4 linked regions of the Anolis sagrei genome follow. The protein of the gene in region 1 purifies or fractionates together with the protein of each later gene. This does not show direct contact. Links are inferred from orthologs where the notes say so. Each region holds a gene or a part of one and is shown in the gene's direction. Other genes may lie near its edges. The genes, in order: DLD, OGDH, PDHA1 and PDHB.

What was found.
Region 2: the proteins of DLD (region 1) and OGDH purify together in Homo sapiens (affinity purification with mass spectrometry; 3 studies listed by BioGRID and IntAct, counting the BioPlex papers as one, with this or other methods). This does not show direct contact. The link is inferred for Anolis sagrei from reciprocal best matches to the Homo sapiens genes DLD and OGDH.
Region 3: the proteins of DLD (region 1) and PDHA1 purify together in Homo sapiens (affinity purification with mass spectrometry; 4 studies listed by BioGRID and IntAct, counting the BioPlex papers as one, with this or other methods). This does not show direct contact. The link is inferred for Anolis sagrei from reciprocal best matches to the Homo sapiens genes DLD and PDHA1.
Region 4: the proteins of DLD (region 1) and PDHB purify together in Homo sapiens (affinity purification with mass spectrometry; 3 studies listed by BioGRID and IntAct, counting the BioPlex papers as one, with this or other methods). This does not show direct contact. The link is inferred for Anolis sagrei from reciprocal best matches to the Homo sapiens genes DLD and PDHB.

Annotation. Positions count from the first base shown.
Region 1 is NC_090025.1:82,693,837-82,701,777, reverse strand, and holds the start of DLD (dihydrolipoyl dehydrogenase, mitochondrial), read left to right. Parts: upstream 1-4,927; 5' UTR 4,928-5,045; coding exon 5,046-5,084; intron 5,085-7,941. Other genes in the region: polycystin family receptor for egg jelly-like, read right to left, coding at 1-2,608. UniProt on the Homo sapiens protein: Lipoamide dehydrogenase is a component of the glycine cleavage system as well as an E3 component of three alpha-ketoacid dehydrogenase complexes (pyruvate-, alpha-ketoglutarate-, and branched-chain amino acid-dehydrogenase complex).
Region 2 is NC_090027.1:15,081,160-15,088,441, forward strand, and holds the start of OGDH (2-oxoglutarate dehydrogenase complex component E1), read left to right. Parts: upstream 1-4,263; 5' UTR 4,264-4,368; exon of another isoform or gene 4,369-4,391; intron 4,392-7,282. UniProt on the Homo sapiens protein: 2-oxoglutarate dehydrogenase (E1o) component of the 2-oxoglutarate dehydrogenase complex (OGDHC). Participates in the first step, rate limiting for the overall conversion of 2-oxoglutarate to succinyl-CoA and CO(2) catalyzed by the whole OGDHC.
Region 3 is NC_090023.1:88,918,037-88,925,828, reverse strand, and holds the start of PDHA1 (pyruvate dehydrogenase E1 component subunit alpha, somatic form, mitochondrial), read left to right. Parts: upstream 1-4,779; 5' UTR 4,780-4,949; coding exon 4,950-5,018; intron 5,019-7,792. UniProt on the Homo sapiens protein: The pyruvate dehydrogenase complex catalyzes the overall conversion of pyruvate to acetyl-CoA and CO(2), and thereby links the glycolytic pathway to the tricarboxylic cycle.
Region 4 is NC_090022.1:29,004,151-29,011,431, reverse strand, and holds the start of PDHB (pyruvate dehydrogenase E1 component subunit beta, mitochondrial), read left to right. Parts: upstream 1-4,273; 5' UTR 4,274-4,328; coding exon 4,329-4,436; intron 4,437-7,281. UniProt on the Homo sapiens protein: The pyruvate dehydrogenase complex catalyzes the overall conversion of pyruvate to acetyl-CoA and CO(2), and thereby links the glycolytic pathway to the tricarboxylic cycle.

The DNA of each region.
Region 1 (7,941 bases):
ACTGCATTTCCCTGGAATTTGCTGAAAGAAGGGTCCAAAAGTAAAGTGGTTGATTTTTTCCACAATTTAGACATCTTGCAGACAGAACAAAACTTTCTGTTACTTTTATAGTTTTCTCACAATTTTCAACACAGGTGATGTTCAACACTGGTACAGAACCATGGAGTACATGAACTGTTTGGAGTGTGTGCGCTGATCTATTCTGCTTCTGAATTCTTAAGATAAAATAGTATTTTGTGTTTTCTTGAAGTGTGTTGGGCTCCACTATTTGAACGGGATCAATGGAAGGTGTCCAGGTTAAATCAACCTGTGCTGGGTGGCATTTTTCATTGGGACTCAGCCTCATTGTTGAATAATCTAATTCCCGTTTTGTGCAGTACCAGTTAAATGTCATTCCTTCCAGGGGATTGTGTGAATCAGGATCAGATGAGGAAGATCCATCCAGAGCCCAACGATCAGAAACACCAACCATCCGGAAGGGTCCTCCAATTATGTTTGCTACTAAATCACTTTCGAGAATTTGGAGTAATATTGAATCTGACTCAGTGATGTTTATATTATATGCAGGTAGAAAAACTGTCATGGTCACATTAACATGATGAAAGCCATAATACAAAACATTCCCGGGTATGTAAAATATTACGCTATCTGTAGTTATTTCATCAGGTAGCTTGAGAGGATGTGTCCAGTCAGGAATAGACAAAGCACTTTTAAGGCTGTAGATTTTCCAGAGTATATGTATAACTGAACTTGTCCTGCAGTCTGCTTTTGCAATTGATTCCAAGCGAACTGCTGACACTCTCCTGTATTTTATGACTGACTCAAACAGATTTGGTTTATGGATGGTAGCAATCAGGTTATAACAGTAACTTTTTTGACAGGCCACATTTAACTCCCTGATTTTTGAAGAGTAAGTGTTGACCGTGGCTTTGAGAACAGCATGTACAAGCCCACTTTTTCTGCAGTTCACTTTTGCTACAAACCCTGCATACAGGGAAGGTTTGAAGAATGAAACAGAGTGAGAAAGAAGGCGAGTGGCATTTTTCACATGATTTCCATAAGTGTACGTGTAATTCCAAAGGAGGTGCTCCTTCCTAGAATCAAAAAGTTGCAAATCAAAGATCCATTCACACTGCAGCTGCGGATGTTGTGTAGGAATAAACCATAAAACATAGGCCAAACTCTCATCAGTAGAATGTCCATTGAAAATCTGAACTTCGGTATCCTTTTCTCCTAAAGCCTTGAACAAAGTCTCCCTTCGGTTCAGGTATAAGTGCATGCTGAACCGGTACCACTGAGGTTGTATAAATTCAATGATGAGTAGGTAAGAGAGGCTCTGCTGCTGATAAAAAATATAGTGAAAGCTAGAGTTCCCACCACTGGCACTGGTATTCTTTCTTGCTTGGGTAGAATAGTATAGTCCCAAAGCATGACTGAAAATGTAAGTGCCTGCTTTTGTTCGTTGTGGGTTGAGCACGAGGTAAGTTGGGTTTGCATTGTTTGCTCTGAAAATCACAGTCTGATTAGAAAATCTGATTTCCCCCTTGAGCTGTCCAGATATTTTCTCGCTAATACGAAAATAGATGCTGGCCATCACTTTGCCCCCAGAATTCCATGATTTGGGAGCTGCACAGAAATCACTTTGTAGAGCAAAAGGATTATAATTGTAGTGAGGAGACCATTGGTCCAGTCCCTGCACATCTATCAACGAGTAAGCCATTATTCTGGGACTAAGGGGTTGGAGAGTCCAGGAAAGGTTGACAGTCCTGTGAGTAAGACTGAGCAATGTGGAGGAAGCGCTAAATACATGGAGCAGAGCAGGCTGCACATACACGTTGAGACTGCGTCTGAGGTGAGGCCCATTCTCAATATGGAGTGAAGCAGTGTAGACTCCACGGTGTGGATAACGCACTGTTACATGGTAGTTATAATATGATGCACATCCTTGGTGCAATTTTGCATAGGGATAAAGAGTGGGTGTGAGTGACTCATTGTGCTGGTTGCTGGGAATGAGATGGTCTACAGGACTACCCCCGGGACTCTCGAAGCGGTAGTTCCAGGTGACACTTTTCAGGCGTGCACACCAGCCTAGCTGCACTGGTTGCCATTCCCGGATGGGAAGTGTCTGTGGTGAGAGGAGGAAAAGATGGACATCTTGCTTAGAAACTTCAATGGTCAAGTTGTTGTAAGCACAAGTGGGTAAATAGCACCAGGCTGATACGCATTGCACTGTGATATGACTAAAGTCCTGGGGTGGATGAGGGCCTCCTTCATCTTGGCCCATATCTATTACCACCTGACCTGACCAGTGATTTGTATTCTCTAGCAAGTTGGAATCCCGGTACCACCTACAATGGGGAGGGACTTGCACGCCTGGCTTCCCAACCTTGATATCTAAAGACAGTCCTCTGTTTCTTGAATACTTCAGCTCAATTTTCCCAGCCCAGATACATGAGATATGATGTTCAGTGTCATGCCTCTGATAGACTCGTTGTTGTGGATCTGTGCAGATGACCAACAGTGGAGGTGGCAAGAAATGAATGGGCGCAGCTGTTGTATAACAAAAAGAGTACCTCAGGAAGAAGATAAGGAGCACAGGGCAATGCATCTCTAGTGCAATGGTTCAGAAGCAACAGCTGTTTAGCAGTATCACCAACAGATCTATGGTTTTAATTCTAGAATCTTTCTGCTGTTGCCCCAAGCAACTGGCCCTTCCGTAGAAGTCAATTTCTTTATATTTCTTGATATTATTAGCTGTCTAGTCCTTTCTCTTCATGACCTATCAGCACAATTTAATTCATTAACTTCTCCATATTTACCCATTTTTTCCGTATACTGTATTTCCAATAATCTTTGGATTTGAAATGCATCATAATAAACTTCCAAACTTGGGAAGTTAATAAATAATATTAAAGGGAATGGAAGAGGAGAGAGGAAACAGAACTTAAGGAACCCTTTAAAGGAACAGTAAAAGTGTGGGGAAAAAAGAAAGAAGAAGTTAAATCCAGGCAATGAGAATAAGATGGCAACTATATGGCAAATGAATTATAATAATGATGAAATTATAGGCAGAACATTGAGACTGATTGAAAGTAGAGGGAAAAGGTTAGTAGAGGATCTATATACAGAGGATGGAAACCCCGTAGAACAAAAAGAAATTCAGAATTATTATTATTATTATCCGAACGTATCTCCGCCTATGAACCCACCAGGACTTTAAGATCTTTTGGGGAGGCCCTGTTCTCGATCCCGCCTGCATCACAGGCACGTTTGGCGGGGACAAGGGACAGGGCCTTCTCAGTGATGGCCCCCCGGCTGTGGAACGCCCTACTCATGGACATTAGAACAGCCCCCTCGTTAATGGTGTTTCGAAGAAGACTGAAGACCTGGCTGTTTGAACAGGCGTTTGGATAAACAGTGCTATGAATATAATGAATATAGGAAAACGGAATTACGGATGACGAGTTGGATCACGATTCTAGTTACGAGATGTTAATGTGTTGTCTATTGATGTGTAATTACTCAGTATATTACGCTGTTGATTGTTTTTAAATAGTGTATGTTGTTAGTATTGAATTCTTGCTCTTGTTGTTAACCGCATTGAGTCGCCTACGGGCTGAGAAACTGCGGTATACAAATAAAGTAAATAAATAAATAATAATAATTATTATTCAGTTCTTGTGGGTTTTTTCGGGCTATAGAGCCATGTTCTAGAGGCATTTCTCCTGACGTTTCGCCTGCATCTATGGCAAGCATCCTCAGAGGTGAGGTCTGCTGGAGCTGGGGAAAAAGGGGTTTATATATCTGTGGAATGACCAGGGTGAGACAAAGGGCTTTTGTAAGTTGGGCTAGGTGTGAATCTTCCAATTGACCACCTTGATTAGCATACAATGGGCTGACTGTGCCTGGAGCAAACTCTTCTTGAAGGGTGATTAGGTGTCCCTGCCAGTTTTTCTCTCTGCTGTTTTTGCTGTTGCAATTTTAGAATTTTTTAATACTGGTAGCCAGATTTTGTTCATTTTCATGGTTTCTTCCTTTCTGTTGAAATTGTCCACATGTTTGTGGATTTCCATGGCTTCTCTGTGTAGCCTGACATGGTGGTTGTGAGAGTGGTCCAGCATTTTTGTGTTCTCAAATAAAATGCTGTGTCCAGGTTGGTTCATCAGGTGCTCTGCTATGGCTGATTTCTCTGGTTGGAGTAGTCTGCAGTGCCTTTCATGTTCCTTGATTCGTGTTTGGGCAATGCTGCGTTTGGTGGTCCCTATGTAGACTTGTCCACAGCTGCATGGTATACGGTAGACTCCTGCAGAGGTGAGAGGATCCCTCTTGTCCTTTGCTGAACGTAACATTTGTTGGATTTTCTTGGTGGGTTTGTAGATTGTTTGTATGTTGTGTTTCCTCATCAGTTTACCTATGTGGTAAGTGGTTCCTTTGATGTATGGCAAGAACACTTTTCCTCTGGGTGGATCTTCATCGTTACTCTCGTGGCTTGTTCTTGGTCTTGCAGCTCTTCTGATGTCTGAGGTGGAGTATCCATTGGCCTGGAGAGCCCAGTTGAGGTGGTTCAGTTCATCTTGGAGGAGGTGGGATGACCAGGGTGCTCTGAGGATGCTTGCCATAGATGCAGGCGAAACGTCAGGAGAAATGCCTCTAGAACATGGCCCTATAGCCCGAAAAAACCTACAAGAACCTAGTGATTCCAGCCATGAAAGCCTTCGACAATACATTGAACATTGTCTAATGTTTGGCAGTGCAGACCCAGCCTGGGAGAGATGCCTGCTCTGGGGGCCACTCAAGGAAAGAGAGGCGGGGCCCAAAAGTCCCTCCTGAGGAGCCAAGGGGGAGGAGCCAAGATACGTCACGAGCTGCAGTGGCCGGCCTCTTCCGCTAGGTGGCGCGCGCCTCTTCCCGGCGGCCGCTTCCGCTGAGGAGGACCTTGAGGGCCAACCCGGCCTCCTCTCCCGTTGTGCGCCTGCGCGAGTCTTCTCCGTCCTTGGCGTTGCCGCTGCAGCTGTGCCTCAGAGGGAACCGTCAGGGCAGCCGCCATGCAGACGTGGAGCCGAGTCTGTTGCGCTCTCGCCAAGGTAGGGCCAGGAGCCGTGGGAAAGGGGGACGGCGTAGGCCCGAGGCGTAGGCCTGACGGAGTAAATAGAGAGAGAAGAGCGCGCGCGAGAGAGAGTGAGGGAGCCGCATCCCGTCATGCCCCGCGCCGCCCTTGGGCCCTCTCTGGCCCCAGCGCCGCCCTTTCCTGAAGGGGAGCCCTGCCTAGAGCCACAGACTGGAGGGATTCCAGGGAAAGCTCACCCCGTCCCTTCTCCTGAAGGGGAGCGGGCTGGAGGCCGCGGAAGGGTCCCAGGGAGAGGGAACTGCACCTCCTGAGTGACAGGATCAGAGGGAAGGGCACCAAATGGACGACTGACTAGAACAGAGCTTTCCAAACTGTCTTGGCTGCAGTGTGTCACATGAACATCAATTAGAAACTTCTGAGTCTGTGTGGAATATGCAATAAGCCATTGGGAAAGACAAAACAAAACAATGAAAGCTAGGTTGTTGTAGGTTTTTCAGGCTATATGGCTATGTTCTAGAAGCATTCTCTTCTGACGTTTCGCCTGCATCTATGGCTATTATTATTATTATTATTATTATTAACTTTATTTATACCCCTACATTGGCAGTCTTTAGAAAGAACTTGAAGACCTGGCTGTTCCGATGTGCCTTTCCAGAATAGGTCATCCAGAGTTTTGGAGTTAGGTGCCATCTCTATGCAGATGACACACAACTCTACTACTCATTTCCACCTAATTCCAAGGAGGCCCCTCGAGTGCTGGACGAGTGCCTGGCCGCTGTGTCTATCTGGATGAGGAGGAACAAGCTGAAGATCAATCCCGACAAGACAGAGGTCCTTCTGGTCGATCGTAAACCTGACCGGGGTATAGGGTGGCAACCTGTGCTGGACGGGGTTACACTCCCCCTGAAGTCACAGGTCCGCAGTTTGGGAGTCCTCTTGGATTCAACGCTTACGCTTGAGGCTCAGGCGTCGGCGGTGTCTGGGAGGGCTTTCGCACAACTGAGACTCGTGCGCCAACTGCGACCGTACCTCGCGAAGGTGGATCTGGCCGGAGTGGTCCATGCCTTGGTCATCTCCAGACTGGGTTACTGCAATGCGCTCTACGTGGGGCTGCCCTTGAAGACGGCTCGGAAGCTCCAACTGGTCCAACGATCAGCAGCCAGGATGCTAACTGGGGCCCCTTACAGAGAGAGGTCAACCCTCCTGTTCAAGGAGCTCCACTGGCTGCCATTTATTTTCCGAGCCCAATTCAAGGTGCAGGTGCTTACCTACAAAGCCCTGAACAGTTTGGGACCAGCCTACCTGCGTGACCGCATTTCCATCTACGAACCCACGAGTTCTCTTTGGGCATCTGGAGAGGCCCTGCTCGTGATCCCACCGGCGTCGCAAGCGCGCTTGGTGGGGACGCGGGACAGGGCCTTTTCTGTGGTGGCCCCCCGACTCTGGAACACCCTCCCCAAAGACCTTAGACAGGCCCCTACATTGGCTGCCTTCAGAAAGAACTTGAAGACCTGGCTTTTCCGATGCGCCTTCCCAGATTAGGAAATCTCCACTACCAAGTCCCATAAGCACTTTATCAGAACCAATGATTGCCGCACATCGCACTTGCCCTGGAAGCCCTATATACACCTCCTGTCACATCAGCACTTTTAATTTTGTACCCATTGCTCTGGCCCGGGCCAGTTTTATTGCGTTTAGTGTATTGTGCCTGTTGTTTATTTTGCTTTATTCTGTTTTTAATTGTTTGATTTGCTTAGATTGTATTGTTGTGTTGTGTATTGAGGCCTCGGCCTGTGTAAGCCACATCGAATCCTTCGGGAGATGCTAGCGGGGTACAATTAAAGTTTAATAATAATAATAATACAACTACCCAGTGATTCCAGCCATAAAAGCCTTCAACAATACAATGAAAGCTTTTCATGAGAGACCTTTTGTTGTCCCCATACGTTGCGTGTTTTAGAGCGTAGACATATGCCCTACATTTAGGGCAACTTTTATTTATTTTGTGTCAAAAGCATTGCATAAACAAACAAGCTCCTTGGTTTGCCCATTCTTGGTTTGTCCCCAGGGGAAGACTCTCATAGGGGGTCATCCAGTTGAAATTGCCTGATTTTTCTGCCCACAGTGATATTCTTGCTGTTGCTGGGGAAACCTTAAAGAGTAGTGGTAGTTCTCATGAAACTTTTCCTTGATTTAAGTCTACTCAGAGGTAGCTGATAGCAATACAGTGTGCACCTTTCACAATGTTCAGCCTTAATTCTCTCACAATTGGCAGCAACTTCCTGTTGCACATCGGGAATCATAGAGTTGGAAGAGATCACATGGGTCATCTAGTTCAGCCCCCTGCCATGCAAGAAAAGTACAATCAAAGTACCCCTGACAGATTGTCATTCATCCTCTGCTTAAAAGTATGCAAACACGGAGCTTCCACCAAACTTTTAGCGTATGAGCTGTTGAGCAGCTTATATGTTCAGGAAGTTCTTCCTAATGTTCAGGTGGAATCTCCTTTCCTATCATTTGAACCCATTGCTCCGCGTCGTGGGGCTCTTCCAGACAGGCCCTATATCCTAGGATCTGATCCCAGGTTTTCTGTTTATCTCAGATTATCTGGCAGTGCAGACTCATATAATCCAGAGAACCTGGGATCAGATCCTGGGATATAGGGCCTGTCTGGAAGGGCTGCTAGATCATGAGAAGCAGAAAACAAGCCTTCTCCCTCTTCCTTATGACAGGATTTCACATATTTAAACATTGCTATCATGTCTCCTCAACCTTCTCTTCTGCAGGTTAAACATACCCAGCTCTTTGAAATGCTTCTCATAAGCATGGTCTACAGACTTTGATCAGTTTAGTTGCCCTTCTCTGGACAGATA
Region 2 (7,282 bases), on another chromosome or scaffold:
AATGTTTTTCAGCTCAAAAGAGAGTCCCTTTTGTTTGTGAGTCGTTGACTGAGATGGGAAACCAATTGGAGAGCCGTTAATTCTCTAGCCTAGTTGTGTCTCAGATGGAAAAAGTCAAATAACTTTTGTGGCATGGTTTTCAGTAATAAATTTGTTACCTTCTGCTATATTTATTTATTTACTTACTTTATTTATATACCGCTTTTCTCAGCCCTCAGGCAACTCAAAGCGGTGAAATATAGGGCACTGATTAAATGTACACACTATCTGACATGGGAAGGGTCCCTGTTGTTGTTGTTAGTGTCTTTGTAAATTGACCAAGACTTGACCCCTATTGTCTTTGTCCTTAGCAAAACTATAAGTTACTATCTCTTATGGGGGTCAGCTCCAGCTTCTCATGAAGGAAAATGAGAGAAGCCTCCCACTGAGTGGTAAAGTATCCAGGCGTCTCCTGGGCAATGTCCTTGCAGAAGGCCAATTCTCTCAAACCAGAAGCAATTTGCAGTTTCTCAAGTCGCTCCTGACATGAAAAAAAATCTCACTAACTCTATCTGACATGGAAAAAAAACCCCATAAAAGTGCTGATTCCCTTTACTGATTCAGGTAAATGAAGCCTGCAGAAGGGAATGTTGCCAGAACATAATAAGCATATTTTAGAGGACAGCTGTCGTTTACCTTGGAATTTTCTGTATGTCCTTGGAAGTAGTTGCAGTTTTTCAAATTTCTGGATTCACCTAAGACTTGCAAATATCCAGAAAAATCAAAAAGCTGATAGCTGTGGCTTGAGGAAGAAAAATAAAACTGCCAAGTTATGTGGGCATTTACTACTGAAAACCATGGAGTTTACAAACAAGCCTTTGTATTCTGCTCAAAAGATTCCCTGGAGCAAGCATTTAATCCTCAAATCATGAGGCAGGGTTAGGTAATCTTAATCTAGTAGTGTCTTTCAAACATTTGCAAACTTCCATTTTTTAAAAACAAACAAACAAACCAACTTTTCTCAAAATCCCAGGTATCATCATCTGTTTGGAAAGTCCAAAGTCTGCAATTGTTTTATAACGTTTAGAGAAGCTCAAGCGAGAATTAGCAACATGGAGTGTCTATTTAATCTTTTTTCATGTCAGGAGCAACTTGAGAAGTTGCAAGTTGCTTCTGGTGTGATAGAATTGGCTGTCTGCAAGGACGTTGCCCAGGAGACACTCGGATGTTTTACCATTATGTGGGAGGCTTCTCTCATGTCCCTGCATGGGAAGCTGGAGTTGACAGTTGGGAGCTCGCCCCGCTACCCTGATGTGAACCCCGACCTTTTGGTCAGCAGTCCGGCCCAAGAATGTATGCATGCATTCCAGTATTGACTCTGGACAAGTAGAAGGTTGAGATGAAAACACAGAGCCAAAGAATTGCAGTAGTTACCTGGCATATTAGCATTTCGAGATTTTGCTAGTAGCATGTTGCCCATCAGGAAAAGGAACTTCTGGCTAATATCCCAAATCCTGAACAACCGGGGTATTCTTACGCTGGTGGTTTGGAGTACATAATCCTCTGGGGGGAAAATAGGTATATAGTACATGCATTTCGTGACCACATCTATATAAATAAAAATGTAATGTTCGTTTGTGGGATTAGCATAACTCAAAAAACCATTGGACGAATTGACACCAAATTTGGACAGCATACACTTAACAACTCAATGTATGTTTTTCACTCAAAAAAATGATTTTGTCATTTGAGAGTTGTAGTTGCAGGGATTTATAATTAACCTACAATCAAAGAGCATTCTTAACATCACCAATGCTGGAATTGAACCAAACGTGGCACACAGGACTCCCATGACATGGGTACTGATAGGCATTGACCTTGAGTTTGGGAGTTGTAGTTCAGCTACATCTAGAGAGCACTGTGGAGTCAAACAATGATGGATCTGGACCAAACTTGGCACGAATATTCCATATGCTCAAATATGAACACAGATGGAGTTGGGGGGGGGGGGGGGGAATAGACCTTGACATTTGGGAGTTGTAATTACTGGGATTTATAGTTTACCTAAAATCAAAGAGCATTCTGAACCCCACGAATGATAGAATTGGGGCAAACTTCCCACACAGAAACCCCTATGACCAATAGAAAATACTTAAGGCCATCCAGTCCAACTCCCTTCACCAAGGTCATTAGACTGGGCCACAGCAACACATGGCAGGGGACAGCTAGTATGTGTATATAGAAGCAAAGAAACACATTCTAAGCAAGCCTCAAAAGTCTGGAAGGCAGCACCTTTGAACAAACCTTAACTCACTACGAGATTTGACTTTGCACTTGTTTTTAATACAGACATAGGAAACCCATTTCCCCCACCCCCAAAAAACCCTGGTTATTGCCCTCATCTCCTCACTCTACCCTCTCATGAAACAAGTAAAACCAATATATAATGTATATATAATTTTGTCTTGTGTGTACAATTTTGCATGGAGGGCCATTGGGTTGAGAAGGATCAAGCCACACTTCAGTGGGTATTAGACTTAAATTCCCTATACAGTCTTTTAGCTTTTGAATTATTTCATTAGTGTTAGATGCGCTCGCTAGATGGTGCTCTCTTTGCAAGGGCTAATTATATAATGCCTTACTCTAATGATATGTGACACTAAATATTTAAAGACATTGGCACACTTTGGGGATGTCTCCAAGTCTTAAAAAAGACAGATTTTTCTTGCAGATGTTACAAATACCTAGAAAACTGGCCAGCTATGGCAGTGGTTCTCAATCTTCCTAATGCCACAACCCCTTAATACCTCATGTTGTGGTGACCCCCAATCATAACATTGTTTTTATTGCTACTCTTTGGCTTAGAAATGTAAGCGCTGCCTCCGGAAAATCCTGCAAATCTCTTGGGAAGAGAAGTGGACAAACGTCAGCGTGCTGGAAGAAGTAAAGACCACTAGCACTGAAGCGATGGTCCTCCGCCATCAACTCCGCTGTACCGGCCACGTTGTCCGGATGCCCGACCACCGTCTCCCAAAGCAGTTGCTCTACTCTGAACTCAAGAATGGAAAACAGAATGTTGGTGGACAGGAAAAGAGATTGAAAGATGGACTCAAAGCCAGCCTTAAAAACTCTGGCATAGACACTGAGAACTGGGAAGCCCTGGCCCTTGAGAACTCCAGCTGGAGGTCAGCTGTTACCAGCAGTGCTGGAGAATTTGAAGAGGCACGAATGGAGGGCGAAAGAGAAAAACGTGCCAAGAGGAAGGTGCATCAAGCCAACCCTGACCGGGACTGACTGCCTACCACCTAGAAACCAATGCCCTCACTGCAGGAGAACATGCAGATCAAGAATAGGGCTCCACAGTCACCTATGCATCCACCAATCTTGGAAGACAATCCTACTCAGACATTGAGGGATCGTCTAACAACAGTTTGGCTTAGAAATGTATATAAGCACCAACCCGCAGAGTCAGACACGACTAGACATAAAGTAAGGGGAAAACCTTTATCTTTACCTAGCTGGCCCTGATTGTTTGTTGGTTTGTTTATTGTTGATTGATTGATTGATTGATTGATTGTTTATTAACCGCTTTGAGTCCCCCCAGGGGTGAGAAAGGCGGTATATATATATTGTAAATAAATAAATTCCTCCCTCCTTATATATATATATATGGATTCAATGAAGGAGTGGCTTTGCGGAAAATATAATAAAGGGCTGCCATTTCCCAATCTGGCCACTTGATGGCAGCAAAGGATTGTACATTGGAGTCGCGGAGTCCTGGGTGAAAAGCGCCTCTGCGGTTTCAAGGAAGGAGCAGAACAGCAATTCCTGATGTCTCCACTGGGCGGCGGCAAAAGGACCGGCATTAGGGCCCTGTAGAGCCGTAGAGGAACCTGTTTGGGGATGTTGGGGACTCTTGTCCAACTCCCCTAAGCTTAAGAGACTGAGGGGGGAAAGGAAGTGGTCTGAGGCTGTTAGGAATTGTGGGACTTGAAGTCCAAAACTTTCGAGTTGATTTCTCTAAATCCCCTAACAGCAAAACGTGGAGTTCACTCTATTTTTAAAAAAAGCTCTAGTCTAGGGTTTCTTGGAAAGAGGACCCAAGTTGACCCGTGGCTGCTCTAAATCTAAACGTGGAGTTCACTCTAAATTTTTCAAATCTCTAGTCTAGGGTTTCCTGGAGCTAGAGCCCAACTTGGCCGGTGGCTGCTCTAAATCTAAACGTGGAGTTCACTCTATTGTTTTACAAAAAGGTCTAGTCTAGGGTTTCCTGGCGTGCTTGATGACGTAAGCACGTAGGCGCCCGGAAGCGAGAGAGGCGGAGCCGGCGGTTGGCGCTGTCAAGCCCAGTTCGGAATCCTCCTGAGGGGAAAGGAGGCAGGAAGGAAGGTCGGTCGAGGCGCCGGCGGCAGGTAGCGCGGCCTGAGGCGGTTTGGGGCCAGGCTGAGGCGCGAGGGAAGGGAAGGGCCGCGAAAGGGAAGTCGCCCTCAGGGGGGCCGGACAAGTGTCCTTCGCGGGCGGGTTTGGGCCGCGCCGGGTTCCGTAGGGAGGTGAGAGGCGGGCCTGGCTAGGCCGGAGCCCCCTGCTCGGGCTCTTGTGTGCCCCTGTGGGCCGTGTGGGTCTGGCCTACTAGATCTCCATCCCCTCCGGCTTATTATTGGAGTTCTTTCCAGTAATATTCCATTTCATTTGTTCTTCCCTCTCTCCTCACAGCTCGAGGCGGGGCACAACATATAGTGAAGATAACACCGATTTATGTTTCATATACAAATGAATTTGGGCTCTCTCTCCAGGTGTTTTGGACTTCAACTCCCATCATTCCTAACAGCCACAGGACCATAAGCAGCTGAGGGGGTGGGGGGAAGGAAGGAAGGAGCCTGAAGCTGAGGGGGAAAGGAAAGGGACTGAGACTGTTAGGAATGGTGGATTTTGGCCCACCTGGAGGGAGGGCAAAAGTTGACCCAGGCCTGAGGTAACTGGTAGGTGCTGGATAAATGTAGCTGAGAATTACCGTTAAAAATAGGACTAACCCAGTGTTTTTCAACCTTATAATAACTTTATTTTTATACCCCGCCTCCCATCTCCCTGAAGGGACTTTGGGGCGGCTTACAGGGGACAAGCCCAGGATTACAATAAAACAGACACAATAAAAACAATCAATAACAACAAATAAAAAACATTAAAATTAATTAACATAAAAACAATACCTTTCCTAATTCTGCAACCCCTTCCTCATGTTATGGTGACCTTCAACCATAAAATGATATTTAATGCTACTTTCATAACTAGAACTGTACTTTCATAACTGTAATGTTGCTACTGTTATGAATCGCAGTGCAAATATCGGATATGCAGGATATATTTTCATTCACTTGGCCAAATTTGACACAAATATCCAATACGCCCAAATTTGAATACTAGTGGGGTAGGAGGTTAATTTGGTCATTTTGTAATTGTTGGGATTTATAGTCCATCTACAATCAAAGAACATTCTGGACTCCATTAACCATGGAATCAAACCAAACTTGGCACACAGAACTGCCATGACTAACAGAAAATACTGGAAGGGCTTGGTGGGCATTGAGCTTGAGTTTGGGAGTTGCAGTTCACCTACATCCAGAGAGCACTGTGGACTCAAGCTATGATGGATCTGGACCAAACTTGGCACAAATGCTCAATATGCCCAAGAATGGACACCAGTGGAGTTTGGGGGAAATAGACCTTGACATTTGGGAGTTGTAGTTGCTGGGATTTACAGTTCACCTACAATCAAAGTACATTCTGAACCCCACCAACAATGGAATTGAGCCAAACTTCCCACACAGAACCCCCATGGCCACAGAAAATACCATGTTTTCTTATTATCGTTGATGACCCCTTTGACACCTCTCGCGGGGGCTGCCAGGGGTCTTGGACCCTAGGTTGAGAAACACTGGACTAAACAATACTATACATTGTGGACTCAAATAAACCCAGTTTAAAGCAGATATTGTGGGATTTTCTGCCTTGATATTCTGGGTTATATGACTGTGTAAGAGCCCTAAGTATAGTTTAACTTTTACTGTTTATGCTCTGGAGTTTCTCAGAGAGGGAAGACAGGTGGACAATAATAATAACAACAACAACAACAACAAAATGACTTCTTACCTACTTCACTTCATGGCTCAAAGTAGGTTACAGAAAAATTAAAACACATAAACATTGCAGGAACGCTACAGATAACATATATTAAAACATATTTCTACAAAAGTTACATATTAAAACGTATTTCTATAAAATGTCTATTAAAATACACAAAATAGAGATTAAACGGATTAAATGGATACAAAACAGATCACAGATTTTAAAAAATGAAACAGTTTTAAAATCTGGGTTGCTGTGAGTTTTCCCGGCTGTATAGACATGTTCCAGAAGCATTCTCTCCCGACATTTCACCCACATCTGTGGCAGGCATCCTCAGAGGTTGTGAGGTCTGTTGGAAACTAGGCAAGTGGGGTTTATATATATGTGGAATGTCCAGAATGGTATCAAGTTTGGTACCAGATATATCTAATTAAAAACCATTCTACTGCTTGGACACCACAGACGCCTTTCCTCATTACTGTATATTGTTTTAATATGTTTGATTTGGAAGATGACGTGAAATGGCGAACTGTTTTAATGTATCTATAATTGTTTTTAATATAGGTTAATTGTATATTGTGCTTCTTTTGTTGTTTGGCACTGAATGATGCCTGTTGGTAGCAGTACTGAGTCCCTCTTCGGAGGCGAGAAGGACAGGACAGAAATGCTCCTAATAATTATATTAAATAAATAAATGTTTAGGTTCTTGTGGGTTTTTTCGGGCTATAGAGCCATGTTCTAGAGGCATTTCTCCTGACGTTTCGCCTGCATCTATGGCAAGCATCCTCAGAGGTAGAGGTCTGTTGGAATTAGGACAATGGGTTTATATATATCTGTGGAATGGCTGGGGTGGGGCAAGGAGCTCTTCCCTGCTGCAGTTAGGTGTGAATGTTCAGCTACCAGTATCTGGCTACCAGTATCTGGCTACCAGTATTAAAAAACTCTAAAATTATAACAGCTAAACAACAGAGAGGAAAAAACCAGGCACAGATTAACACCTCCCAGCAGCAGATTTTCCCAGGCGCAGGCAGGCCTTCAAATGCTAATGAAGGTGATCAGCTGAACATTCACACCTAACTGCAGCAGGGAAGAGCTCCTTGCCCCACCCCAGCCATTCCACAGATATATATATAAACCCATTGTCCTAATTCCAACAGACCTCTACCTCTGAGGATGCTTG
Region 3 (7,792 bases), on another chromosome or scaffold:
CCATCACAGTTTTGAAGGGCTGTTGACAATAGTAAGAACTGGGGTCCCCGTGCATAGAAATGGGCTTAGTTACAATAATAAAGAGTTGACCTTTTAACAGATGCGTAGAAAGGCAATAACATCCCCTTAGCCCCAACACCATTCAGCCTCCTCAAATAACCCTCCTGGATGACGATTTGATTGATATTGGAACCAAAGAGAGTGCCAAATGAATGACATTTAATGCGAGAATACCCTGACAAAGAGAAATAAATAACCACCCTCCCAGATCCCAAAAGAAAATTCACAACTATAACAAAATCAAAAATTATCAAAGTTAAACAAAATTAAGTGATAATACAATTAAATAAATAAATAACATAGGTGGGTATATAGATAAAATGATAGATAGATAGATAGATAGATAGATAGATAGATAGATAGATAGATGATAGATAGAATGATAGATAGATAGATAGATAGATAGTTGGGGTGGGTGGGTGGGTGGGTAGATAGAAGGGTGTCTGGATAGATGGATGGATAGAAAGATAGATTGGTAGGTGGGTGGATAGATAGAGAGAGAGAGAGAGAGATAGTGGGTGGGTAGATGGATGGATAGACAGATTAAATAGAGAGAGAGGGTGGGTGGGTGGGTAGATGGATGGATAGATTAGATAGAGAGGGTGGGTAGATGGATGGATAGGTAGATAGACTCCCTTTATTCAGCCCACTCAGCTCCCTTGATGTCTCATTATCTACCTCAACATTAGAATCACCCCCACCTAACGCCCAAGGGAGACTATTCCCCAGCCCAACTTCCTCCTCTGAGAGCTGACTAGATCACGGCCATGTAGGGGGGGGGGAGTTCCAGAGGAAGGGGGGGCATCCAAGACGTGTGGGGGAGGAGACTTGTGGGTCACAAACATCCCAGGGAGAAGCGCAACAGAGTCCTTGCGACCCTGGAAAAGGTGGGTAGTGGTAGGCTCCTTGGCAGCCCCCTTGGTCTTAAGGTCCTGCTGATTAATGCCAGATCCGTTAATGGTAAGACCGCGGCCATTCAAGACTTGATCCTGGATGAGAGGGCGGATCTGGCATGCATCACCGAGACCTGGCTGGACGAGCTGGGGGGTGTAAATCTCTCTCAGTTATGCCCACCAGGTTTTGGAGTGCATCAGCAGGCCAGACAAGGGGGGCGGGGAGGAGGGGTCGCAGTAGTCTTTCGGCAATCCATCGCCGTGATCAGATGCGCTGTCCCGCAGGCTTCCGGGTTTGAGTGTGTCCACTTGAAAGTGGGGAGCCGTGACAGTGTGGGGTTCCTGCTGGTGTACCGCCCACCCCGCGACCCAGCAGCTTCCCTGTCTGAGCTAGCGGAGGTGGTCTCTAATTCGGCCTTGGTCTCCCAACGCCTGGTGGTGCTGGGAGATTTTAACATTCACGCTGAGACCACCTTATCTGGCGCAGCTCAGGACTTTATGGCCACCATGACGACCATAGGACTGTCACAGATAATATCTGGCCCCACTCACCAAGCTGGACATACTCTTGACCTTGTCTTTGTGATGGACAACGAATTGATCAGAGTGGAAGATCAAAACATCCTTCCTGTGTCATGGTCTGACCATTATCTGATCACTTTTAGACTTGCTGCGACTCTTAACCTCCGCAGGGGTGGAGGACAAATTAAAATGGTCCGCCCTAGGAGACTGATGGATCCGGATGGATTCCTGAGGAATCTTGGGGTTCCTCCTGCCCTGGAGCTTGGCGATTCTATCGACGCCTTGGTAACTCTCTATAATGGGGAGATGTCCAGGGCATTAGATATGATCGCACCCGAACGTCCCATCTCGTTGCGTCGTGACAGGCCATCTCCTTGGTTCACCGAGGAGCTGGCTGTGATGAAGCATACGAGAAGGGGGCTAGAGCGCAAATGGAGGAAATCTCGAGCCGTCTCTGATCGAGCACGGGCTAAAGCCTCTCTTAAGGCATACTCCGTGGCTATATGGGGGGCCAGGAAATCGTTCACGACCTCCCGTATAGCGTCTGCTGCAAATAGATCATCGGAGCTGTTTCGGGTCGTGGGGGAACTCCTCCATCCTCCTGTGGTGGAGGAGGTCACTGATGACCCAGCAGCTAGGTGTCGCGATTTCGCACACCATTTTGCAGGTAAAGTCGCCCAGATACGCCTTGAGCTCGACTCCAATTCCATCGCAGTGCCAGAAGAGGTGACGGAGGCATCTGCTTGTCTGACTTTGTGGGATTCTTTTAGGCCTGTTCTTCCTGAAACCGTAGAGGAGATTCTTGGGGCTGTGAGGGCGACCACCTCATCTCTAGACCCATGCCCATCTTGGCTCATCAAATCAGCCAGGGAGGGGTTGCTTGATTGGTTTGTATTGATTATCAATGCATCGTTGGAGCAAGGGATTTTTCCATCTAATCTGAAGCAGGCTGTGGTTCAGCCACTCCTCAAAAAAGCTTCCCTTGACTCCACGGTGCTGAGTAACTACAGGCCAATCTCCAACCTCCCTTTTCTGGGTAAGGTGCTGGAGCGGGTGGTCGCCTCGCAGCTCCAGAGCTTCTTAGACGATACCAACTACCTAGATCGGTCACAGTCTGGCTTCAGGCCTGGTCATGGTACCGAGACAGCCTTGGTCGCCTTGGTGGATGACCTCCGCAGAGAACTGGACAGGGGGAGTGTGACTCTGCTGGTTCTCTTGGACATCTCAGCGGCTTTCGATACCATCGATCATGGTATCCTTCTGGGTCGTCTCTCTGGGATGGGCCTCGGGGGCGCGGTTCTGTCGTGGCTCCGGTCCTTCCTGGAGGGACGGACCCAGATGGTGAAGCTGGGAGACGCCTGCTCTGACCCCTGGCCTTTGACCTGTGGGGTCCCGCAAGGCTCCATTTTGTCGCCCATGCTTTTCAACATCTATGTGAAACCGCTGGGAGAGGTCATCCAGGGTTTTGGAGTTGGGTGCCATCTTTATGCGGATGACACACAACTCTACTACTCCTTTCCACCTAACTCCAAGGAGGCTTCTCGGGTGCTAGACGAGTGCCTGGCCGCTGTGTTGATCTGGATGAGGAAGAACAAGCTGAAGATCAATCCCGACAAGACAGAGGTCCTCCTGGTCGATCGTAAACCGGATCGGGGTATAGGATGGTTACCTGTGTTGGACGGGGTTACACTCCCCCTAAAGCCACAGGTCCGCAGTTTGGGTGTCCTCCTGGATTCTTCGCTCACACTTGAGGCTCAGGTGTCGGCGGTATCCGGGAGGGCCTTTGCGCAACTGAGACTTGTGCGCCAACTGCGACCATACCTCGTGAAGGCTGATCTGGCCGGCGTGGTCCACGCCTTGGTCACCTCTAGAATGGACTACTGCAATGCGCTCTACATGGGGCTGCCCCTGAAGATGGCTCGGAAACTTCAATTGGTCCAGCGGGCAGCTAGGATCCTAACTGGGGCTCCTTATCAAGAGAGGTCTACCCCTCTGTTTAAGGAGCTCCACTGGCTGCCATTTATTTTCCGAGCCCAATTCAAGGTGTAGGTGCTCACCTACAAAGCCCTAAACGGTTTGGGACCACCCTACCTGCGTGACCGCATCTCCATCTACGAACCCACACGCTCGCTTCGATCATCTGGGGAGACCCTACTCGTGATCCCACCTACGTCGCAAGCGCGCTTGGTGGGGACACAGGACAGGGCTTTCTCTGTGGCGGCCCCCCGACTTTGGAACGCCCTTCCAAAAGATCTCCGACAGGCCCCTACTCTAGCTGTTTTCAGAAGGAATTTAAAAACTTGGCTATTCCGTTGTGCCTTCTCAGACTAGGAATCCCCACCCCAAGTCCTAGTAGCACCTTAGCATAACTAATCGTCGCTGCACACCGCACTTCTAATCCTACGTGCCTCCTGCCATTTCAGCACTTTTAACCCTTGTACCCCATTGCGCCGGCCGAACCAGTTTTAATAATGTCTTGATGTACTGCCATTGTCGTTATTTTGCTTATTGTTTTGATTTGCTTTGTTATTGTTGTGCTATGTTTTCTATTGTATTGTGTTTTGAGGCTTCGGCCTGTGTAAGCCGCATCGAGTCCTTCGGGAGATGCTAGCGGGGTACAAATAAAGTTAATAATAATAATAATAATAATAATAATAATAGATAGAGATAGATGTATAGATGGTGGGTTAGGTAGACAGACAGACAGATAGTGGGTAGGTAGATGGATGGATGGATGGATAGATAGATTAGATAGAGAGAGGGGTGGGTAGATGAATGGATGGATAGATGGATGGATGTATAGATGATGGGTTAGGTAGACAGACAGATAGTTGGTAGGTAGATGGATGGATGGATACATTAGAGAGAGAGAGGGTGGGTAGATGGATGGATGGATGTATAGATGGATGTATAGGTGGTGGGTTAGGTAGACAGACAGACAGATAGTGGGTGGGTAGATGGATGGGTGGGTGGTGGATAGATAGATCGGTGGGTGGGTAGATGGATGGATGTGTGGGTGAATGGATGGATAGATAGATAAATAGATAGGTAGATAGACAGATAAATCGGTGGGTGGATAGATAGATGAATGGGTGGGTGGATGGATAGACAGACAGATCAGTGGAGGGAGGGAGGGAAGGAGAGAAAGAGAGAGAGCTATCTCGTCTCCAGAGGAGTCAGTCATTGTCGGCGGGCTCCGCCAGGGGGCAGTAGAGCGAGAGAGAGCGAGCGGAAGAGCGCCGCTGCCGACACTTCCTCCGCTGTCCTTCTGAGCGGAGCTCCTCGTCGGCCGGGTTTCCGCGGAGGAGGAGGAGGAGGAGGAGGAGGAGGAGGGGAGGAGGGAGGGAAGAAGAGGTTGAAGGAGACTCGGCGGCCTTGCCTTCCTTCCTTCCTCCGGTGCGCGGCGGGGCTGGGAGCAGCCGAGGGTAGAGCAGGCCGCGGCGTGTGTATGTGGCGGTGAGCGCCCTGCCCTCCATGCGCAAGATGCTGGCCGCCCTTTCCCGCCTGCTGCTGCTGCCCAAGGGCTCGGCTGCCCACAAACCGGTGAGTGAGCGGGGGGAGGCGGAGGGCAGAGGGCTCCCCGTGACTGACTGACTGACTGACTGACTGACTGCCTGCCTGCTTCCCAAGGCCACGTGCCAGGGGCGCGAGGCGAGGGGGAAACGGGCACTCCCGAGGGGGCGCGTGGCTGACAGCTGGGGTCGCGCGCACAACAACGGGGGGAGGGGCGACGCGGGGAGGTGAGGAGGGAGGAGGCCGCGCCCTGTAGAAGAGTTCTCTCCCTCAAGAGCTCTCTGCCCTCCTCTGAGGCAGGCTTGGGCCTTCAGTCGTTTCTGACCTATGGCGAGCGAACCCTCTCCTCCACCTTCCCCTCCTCCTCCTCCTTGGCAGAAAGGGGTTTGCCCTTGCCTGTCTCTGAGGCTGAGAGAGTGCGGCTTGCCCGAGGTCACCCGGTGTCTTTCCTTGGCTCCTCAGAGTGCCCTTGAGGTTTCTGCTTACACTGTCAGCGCTGTGGAGCCACGGGAGTTTTGGCTTGCGCTTTTTGAAAGGCAAGGCTCAAGGCCATGCAAAACGACCACCCCCAAGACGCCAGGGCAGTTAGGAATGGGGCCCAACTGGATTGGTTCTACAGTGAAGATGCACCTGTAGTCCAGCGCTCAAACTGGCGCCCATTTATTTATTTATTTGTCGTGTCAGGGCAACTGGTGCCCATAAGAACACACAGTCCCCTGGAAAAACCAACAATGCTTGGTTATTTAGAAAGCTGTACAGAAAAAAGGCAGATGCTGCAGACAGATAGATTGTTACTGCATAGAGTTACGACCGTGTTGGCTTCCCATCCAGCTACTAGCAGGGCCAACCCTGCTTACCTTCCAGTGGCTGCTGGATTTTTGTCATTATCTCCCATTAGGTTGTGTTGTCCAAAGCTTTCATAATCACTGGGTTGCTGTGAGTAAATGCCCAGTAGAGTTTTTTCTGCCAGCCATAAGTCAACCTAGTGGCAGGGTTGCTGCAAGTTTTCCGGGCTGTATGATCATGTTCAAGGAACATTCTCTCCTGATGTTTCACCCACATTATGGCAGGCATCCTCAGGGGTTTGAGGAGTCTGTTGGAAATGAGAATGCCTGCCATAGATGTGGGCGAAATGTCAGGAGATAATGCTTCTGGAAAATGGCCATACAACCTGGAAAACTCTCAGCAACCCTGCCATTAGGTTGACTTATGGCTGGCAGAAAAACTCTACTGGGCATTTACTGCTTAAGACATACTAAATATTTATAGACTTATTGTAAATCAACAGGTGACTAAAAGCACACAGAAATTACAGAATGGGAATGGAAGAAACAATATTCCTTCAACAATACATTGAGATTATTAAGAATAGTTTTGGCCATAACTTCATAACCACAGATGTATTAAGAATATTCTCCTTTCTAAAGCACAATAAGACCCTAAGCTCTTACAAAGAGCAGTACAAAATAAAACATTATACTAACACAATACAGATATGCCTACTTTGTACTATGCTTCTTGCAACACATTAATATTGCTTTGTGTCTGAGTCTCCAGTTTGTGCCAAAGGACATGGAAGTGGCTTTCTGGATAATCAGGCTGCCATATGGCATCACATGTTTAAGGGTAAAATAAAGGCAAACATTCCACACTACAGGAATAGTATTTCTTGTCTCAGAAAACCCTATGAAATTAATGGGGTTGCCATAAGTTGACAGACGGAGGCATACACACAGGTGACCAATATAAAGAGAGCACAGGTGTCTTCCCACTCCTTTCCATATTTGTGGAGAGGAAGCTGTCTCTTTTCAGGTATGTCTTTTTGCCCAGTTTCTGTTTTGATATAGTTGCAACACTGCTGCCCTACTTGTGTCTGTCTTATTTCAATGCAGTGGTTCACAACCTTTTTTTGACCACTCTCCAACAGTAGTACCAAATGGGTTACAAATCGGGTTTGGGTCAAGTGTAGATTTGGTTTGGTTATTTGGGGTACTAATTCAGAAAATTGCATTGGGCAGACCACATCAGCTCTAGCTTCTGATGCAAAACATATGTCATCCAGTAGTCACCATTTGCTTGCCCACAGAAAACCATATTTAATAATTTATTTATTTATTTATTATTTACTTTGCTTCTATACCGCTGTTCTCAGCCCGAAGGCGACTCACAGCGGTTCACAGTCAGTAAAAACAGCAATAATTCAATGCAACATATAACAACAATTAACAACTTAACACATTACCCGCTCAGTACACAATTACTACCATAACCAAACCCAATCGTCTTATCGTCAAAAACATAATCCAGATTCGTCATCCATTGTTCATTCCTATGTTCATTACCAATCATTGTACTAGTTATTCGAATGCCTGCACACACAGCCAGGTCTTCAGTTTTTAGGGAATACCATGAGAGATGGGGCCGATCTAATGTCCATGGGAAGGGCGTTCCACAGCCGAGGGGCCACCACCGAGAAGGCCCTATTTCTCGTCCCCACCAACCGTGCTTGAGAAGCCAGCGGGATCGAGAGCAGGGCCTCCCCAGAAGATCTCGAAGTCCTGGTGGGTTCATAGGCAGAGATGCGGTCGGAAAGGTATCTTGGGCCGGAACCGTTTAAGGCTTTATAGGCCAATGCCAGCACCTTGAATTGAGCCCGGTAGCTCATCTAGAGCTCATCTAGAGCTGATGTGGTAATAATAATCTTTCATGGGTAGTCAGCCTCTCCCCTCCCCATATCCCTGTTGCCTCTGCACTATAAGAGAGTTTCGCAGGACCAGTCACTCTCATTGTTGCGTGGCTTCGAG
Region 4 (7,281 bases), on another chromosome or scaffold:
GCAATAAATATCCCTCATTTAGAAAAAGAAAATGACTATGTGTTAAGATGTACATTTATATTTAGCTAATAATCATAACCTCTTCAGTAAGGTCACTGAAATTTGCTCTTTCATTATTGCTTGTGCTCATATATATGCAGATTGCAATTGATTATTAGCTTTGCTAATGAGCTTGCTTAGAACAATGTAATCATCAGCTATTTGTGCGCATTCTTCTAAATTATAGTCCAAAAATGCCATTTCATCTTCTTTTTTCCTATCCTAGATTCTAAATTTAGAAGAGAAACATGAAATCATTCATCTTTCAACGGGATGTCACACGTTTCCAAACTTCCCTACTCTGGCAAGAACAAAAATTCGGATTGTGCTATTTTAGCCCATGAGACTATATAATTGTACATTTCTGTGACCAACACTTTACATTTCTCTCCTAAATTGAATTCTATGTCTTTTTTCAATATATCAGTGGAGGGTAAGTGTCCATGAATTTATATTTCTTAGATACTCTGCTACCACTCTGTTGGTTCTTATTGCGATTATACAATGTTTCTTTTGGGATCACCAATAATATACACTTGAAGCATTGTCGTCAGGTGGGATAATTTATACCCTTAAGTTGTCAGGACTGATGACAGACAGGTCAGCGGTTCAAATCTGGGGAGAGTGGGTTGAGCTCCCTCTGTCAGCTCCAGCTCCCCATGCAGAGACATGAGAAAAGCCTCCCACAAAGATGGTAAAACATCAAAAAACATCAGGGCTTCCCCTGGGCAACATCCTTGCAGACGGTCAATTATCTCACACCAGAAGCAACTTGCAGTTTCTCAAGTCACTCCTGACACATAAAAAAAGTTCTAATACGTAGATGCACCCAAGAATGGGGTGGGTTAAGCTCTGCAAAGCATGAGCAAACATACCATTTTGTCTTTCCTCGGCTGAATGAGTCTTTCTGAGCAGATATGACAAATTATGCATAAATTAACCTTTCTGACCCAAGTAATTGGCAATTCTAAATGTGTCTCTTTTGAAACCTTTACAGCATGTAATTGCTGGAGAGGGCTTGTTTGGAATTGAGATGGAAGATTTTCCACTCGAAAGATAACCCCAGTGCAAACCGCGTACATGGCTGGAGATAAGCAATAAGTTCTCTTCACAATAATATATTAATTTATGCAGTTTGTGAACACTTTGGATGTATCACTGTCTGCATGATAAATTATCTACAAATATTTAAATGAAAAAACACATTTGATGTCTTTTCCTGGATAGTCCTAATTTTTAAAATATTCTTAATGACAGTGGCCCAACCTGTACTGCCATAAAATGCAATTCAACAGCATTGTGTGAATCTACACTGCCATATAATTAATTAAATACTGCTAAACTTCATTGTATGCCAGTGTAGGCAGGCCTTCGTCAGCAGGTTAGTCAGGGTTGTTCAAGAAAAATTCTGGACTCATATATAGCCTCTTATTATGATGTCTCCCAATGTTCGAACAGCATTCATGGCAATACTTTCAAAACATAAATATTTTTACCTATTTTATTTTCCTCCTTATAGTATTTTTAATGAGTTCATGGAAAATAAGAAGGTGGAAGTAGTTTAAAACAGAAGGTTTGGTCATCCCTGCCACCAGCTTGACATAAAACTTCCTTGGAAGTATTGAGGCTTTCCACTTCTTATTATTTTGAATATAGCTGAATATTTATTTTAGCTTAATACAGTATATTTTATTTATTTATATCATGCTTTATCTCTCCATATGGAGACTCAAAACGTTTCACGATCAAAAACATTACAATTTAAAATATAAAAATATACAAAAATAAAACAGTATATCATTATATATTATCAGTAGTAATTATATTTAATATATTAAAGGTAAAAGTTTCCCCTTGACATTAAGTCTAGTTGAGTCTGACTTTGGGAGGTGGTGCTCATCTCCATTTCTAAGCCGAAGAGCCGGCGTTGTCTGTAGACACCTCCAAGATCATGCGGCCAGCATGACTGCATGGAGAGCTTTTATCTTCCTGACGGAGTGGTATGTATTGATCTATTCACATTTGCATGTTTTCAAACTGCTAGGTTGGTAGAAGCTGGGCCTAACAATGGGAGCTCACCCTGCTCCCTGTATTCAAACTGCCAACCTTTCATTCAGCAAGTTCCGCAGCTTTAACCTGCTACACCACCGAGGCTCCATTTAATATATTAGTATTACTATATTGCAATATTATTATTTGGGCACTACAATTGAAGAGAGATATTAACAGGCTGGAATGTGTTCAGAAGAGAGCGACTAAAATGTTCAAGGGTCTGGAGAACAAGACCTATGAGGAGCAGTTTAAAGAGCTGTGCATATTTAGCCTGAAGAAGAGAAGGCTGGGAGGAGACATGATGAGGGCCATGAATAAATATGTGAGAGGAAGTCACAGGGAGGACGGAGCAAGCTTGTTTTCTGCTGCCTTGGAGTCTAGGACATGGAACAATGGCTTCAAACTGCAAGAAAGAAAATTCCACCTGAACATTAGGAAGAACTTCCTGACTGTGAGAGCTGTTCAGCAGTTGAACTCGCTGCCCTGGAGTGTGGTGGAGGCTCCTTCTCTGGAGGCTTTTAAGCAGAGGCTGGATGGCCATCTGTCGGGGGTGCTTTGAATGCAATTTTCCTGCTTCTTGGCAGAATGGGGTTGGACTGGATGGCCCATGAGGTCTCTACCAACTCTTTGATTCTATTGTATTATTATATTTTATTATTTATTTATTTATTTGGGGTTCTTTTACCCCGCCCTTCTCACCCCGAAGGGGACTCAGGGCGGCTTACAAAGGCAAAGGCACAATTTGATGCCTGCATCATAAAACAATCATACACAAAATTACATCAATTCACAGTTAATAACAATTCATGCATTATAACCATAAAATCAATAAAATCAATAAAAACCAATACAAACCCAATTTCTCCTCTTACATGGTCAGCGTTCGCTAACTCATAGATCTAGTTTTACGTTCCACTTCATCAGTCCTGTTGGTCCTTACTTGCCTGATTATCTGATTTAATTGCCAGCGTGCCCAAAGGCCTGGTCCCATAACCACGTCTTCACCCTCCTCCTGAAGGCGAGGAGGGATGGTGATGCCCTGATTTCCCCCGGGAGTGAGTTCCACAGGTGAGGGGCCACCACTGAGAAAGCCCTGCTCCTCGTCCCCACCAGCCTCACTTGTGACAGTGGTGGGGTCGAGAGCAGGGCCTCCCCAGATGATCTCAGACTCCGGGGTGGGACGTAGAGGGAGATACGTTCGGACAGATACACTGGACCGGAACCGTACAGGGTTTTGTAGGTCAAAACCAGCACCTTGAATTGTGCTCGGAACTGAATCGGCAGCCAGTGGAGCTGGCACAGCAGGGGAGTGGTATGCTCCCTGTATGTCGCTCCGGTGAGCAATCTGGCTGCCGCTCGCTGGACTAGTTGAAGTTTCTGAACAGTCTTCAAGGGCAACCCCACGTAGAGCGCGTTGCAGTAGTCTATTCGGGATGTAACAAGATGTAATTTAGTAATATTAAATTGTATTACATTATATTATTAATATTATATGTAAGTATAACATATTATATAATTATATATTACTATATTGTACCACAGCACTATACTCCAATATTATTATTAATAATACATGTAAATCAAATAGTATATATTATATGGTATTATATGAGTATACCACAATATATAATATACCAGCATGTTTTGCTATTAGTGGGTTGTTGTAGGTTTTTTTGGGCTATATGGCCATGTTCTAGAGGCATTTTCTCCTGACATTTCGCCTTCATCTATGGCAAGCATCCTCAGAGGTAGTGAGGTCTGTTGGAACTGGGGAAAAGGGTTTATATATCTGTGGAATGACCAGGTTGGGACAAAGAACTCTTGTCTGCTGGAGCTAGGTGTGAATGTTGCAATTGACCACCTTGATTAGCATTTGATTGCCTGGCAGTGCCTGGAGCAATCTTGTGTTGAGGGGTGATTAGATGTCCCTGATTGTTTTCCCTCTGCTGTTTTGCTGTTTTAATTTTAGAGCGCGCATTGAGCCTTCTTGTCCCATTCAGCTTCCCGTAGCCTTCTACAGCAAATAGGAAATGCTGTTCTCATCATCAGGCAGGGCTATAAATAGTCAGGCAAGGATAGAGATGAACTCTCGTCGATTGAATCTCGCGAGAGTTGTAGGATAGTCCCGCCTTCTCCCTTTCGCTCTCGTGCTACCTCCTGGTTGCTTGGCAACGGTGACGGGCGTGCCCGGTGACGCGTTACGCCGGGGCGCCGGCGGGGTTGAGGGCAAATTGAAGATGGCGGCAGCGGCGTTGCCGTTGAAAGGCCTTTTGCGAGTGGGAGCAGGACGGCTCTCGGGGCTCCCACGGCGGGGGTTTCACCGCTCTGTGCCGGCCGCCGTTCAGGTAGGGGCGCCCCCGAGGGAGAGAGAGTCCGAAAGGGAAACGGGGCGTGGAAAAGGAGTTGCTTGGAGTTAGAGGTCGGCCAGAGGGTGCATCTACGCTAGGCATGGGCAAACTTGGGCCCTCCGGGTGTTTTGGACTTCAACTAGGAATGGTGGGAGTTGGAGTCCAAAACACCCGGAGGGCCCAAGTTTGCCCATGCCTGGTGTTGAGTTCCCTTCCTATTGAGATAAAATGTCACTCTATACAGGTCAATTATTATTATTATTATTATTATTATTTTATTTCTTGCCAGCCTCTCTTCATGACTCGAGGCGGGTTACAAAACAATTCAAATACACAAGCACAGCAAAAACACTACAAGTTACACACACTAAAACGTACCTCCATAAAAGTTACATACCAAAATGTATCTCTGCAAAATATATATTGTGATGGCATGCCGGGGGTTGAAGGAAAACTATATGTCCGTCTATTCCCCAGTGGTTATCGGAATCTATGAATCTATATAAATAAAAATGTAATGTTCGTTTGTGGGATAACTCAAAAACCACTGGATGAATTGACACCAAATTTGGAAACAATTATAATTTTATTATTATTATTATTATTATTATTATTAACTTTATTTGTACCCCGCTAGCATCTCCCGAAGGACTCGATGCGGCTTACAAAGGCCAAGGCCTCAAAACACAACATAACAATACAACACCTAAAGCAAATTAAAAACAGTTCAAGCAATATTAAACAACAAGCAATAAACAATACATCAAGACACTATAAAACTGGGCCGGCCCAGAGTAATGGGTACAGGATTAAAAGTGCCGATGTGACAGGTGATATGTAAGGCTTATAGGGCAAGTGCAGTGTGCGGCAATCTTAGTTCTAATAAAGTGCTTCTGGGACTTGTTATTGGAGATTCCTATTCTGGAAAGGCACATCGGAACAGCCAGGTCTTCAAGTTCTTTCTAAAGACTGCCAATGTAAGGGCCTGTCTAAGATCTTTTGGGAGGGTCTTCCAGAGTCGGGGGGCCACCACAGAAAAGGCCCTGTATCGCGTCCGCACCAAACGCGCCTGCAACGCAGGCGGAATCGCGAGCAGGGCCTCACCGGATGAACGAAGTGAGCACATGGGTTCATAAACGGAGATGCGGTCACGGAGGTAGGGTGGTCCCAAACCGTTTAGGGTTTGTAGGTAAGCACTTATCAGGCCAACGAGTGACCATCACTCATAAAAACACTAAAAAACACATTGGAAGAGACTTAAAAAGACAAAAAAATACATTAATAATAATAATAAACTTTATACCCTGCTACCATCTCCCCAAAGGGGACTCGCCAAGCTCAATGATTCATTACAGCAACATAAAATATAAACAACAATATAACATCACAGTTAAAATAAATAAACCAATTAAGTAAATAAGCAGTACAAAATAGCATAATGGAAAATCAAACACAGTGGGTGGGCCAAAAGCACAACAAAATGGTAAAACTCTAGATGAGATAGCAATGAAAAGGTACATTTGTGGAGGAGGAGTTCGTGGGGACTGAACTTATGCGCAAAAACACACACATATACAAACACACGTATATACACAAATATATAGACACACATATAGACACACAAAGCACATATACACAGACTGGGCCACAGCAACACGTGGCAGGGGATGGCTAATAATAATAATAATAATAATAATAATAATAATAATAATCTTTATTTATACCCCACCACCATCTCCCCAACGGGGACTCGGGGCGGCTTACATGAGGCCAAGCCCAACAATGCAATACAATAAAATAAAATAAGATCATAAAGGCATAAAACAACAACATAATAAAATACATAAAACATGAGAATACAGTAAACAATATAAAATACAATAAAAGTCATTCACAATCCCAGTGACATTAAGCAAGCCACTTGTACAGGATAAAATACTAAAAACTCAGGGTGAGATAGGAATGGGGCAGATTATTTGTGAGGGAGGGAACATACCCTCTGATGTACTTTAGTTCTTTAAAATAAAGACTCTTGAGACAGGATTAAAGTTAACCAAATAAGTTTACTGGAAACAAAGCCAAAGTTAATTTCAATGTATTGTCGAAGGCTTTCATGGCCGGAATCACTGGGTTGTTGTAGGTTTTTTCGGGCTATATGGCCATGGTCTAGAGGCATTCTCTCCTGACGTTTCGCCTGCATCTATGGCAAGCATCCTCAGAGGTAGTGAGGTCTGTTGGAACTAGAAAAAAGGGTTTATATATCTGTGGAATGACCAGGGTGAGACAAAGGACTCTTGTCTGTTGGAGCTAGGTGTGAATGTTTCAACTGACCACCTTGATTAGCATATAATGGTCTGACAGTGCCTAGAGCAAACTTTTGTTGAGAGGTAATTAGATGTCCTTGTTTGTTTCCTCTCTGTTGTTGTGCTGTTGTAATTTTAGAGTTTTTAAATACTGGTAGCCAGATTTTGTTCATTTTCATGGTTTCCTCATTTCTGTTGAAATTGTCCACATGCTTGTGGATTTCAATAGCTTCTCTGTGTAGTCTGACATGGTGGTTGTGAGAGTGGTCCACCATTTCTGTGTTCTCAGATAATATGCTGTGTCCAGTTTGCTTCATCAGGTTCTCTGCTATGGCTGACTTCTCTGGTTGAAGTAGTCTGCAGTGCCTTTCATGCTCCTTGATTCGTGTTTGGGCAATGCCGCGTTTGGTGGTCCCTATGTAGACTTGTCCACAGCTGCATGGTACACGGTAGACTCCTGTAGAAGTGAGAGGATCGCTCTTGTTCTTTGCTGAACATAGCATTTGTTGGATTTTCTTGGTGGGTCTGTGTTTCCTCAT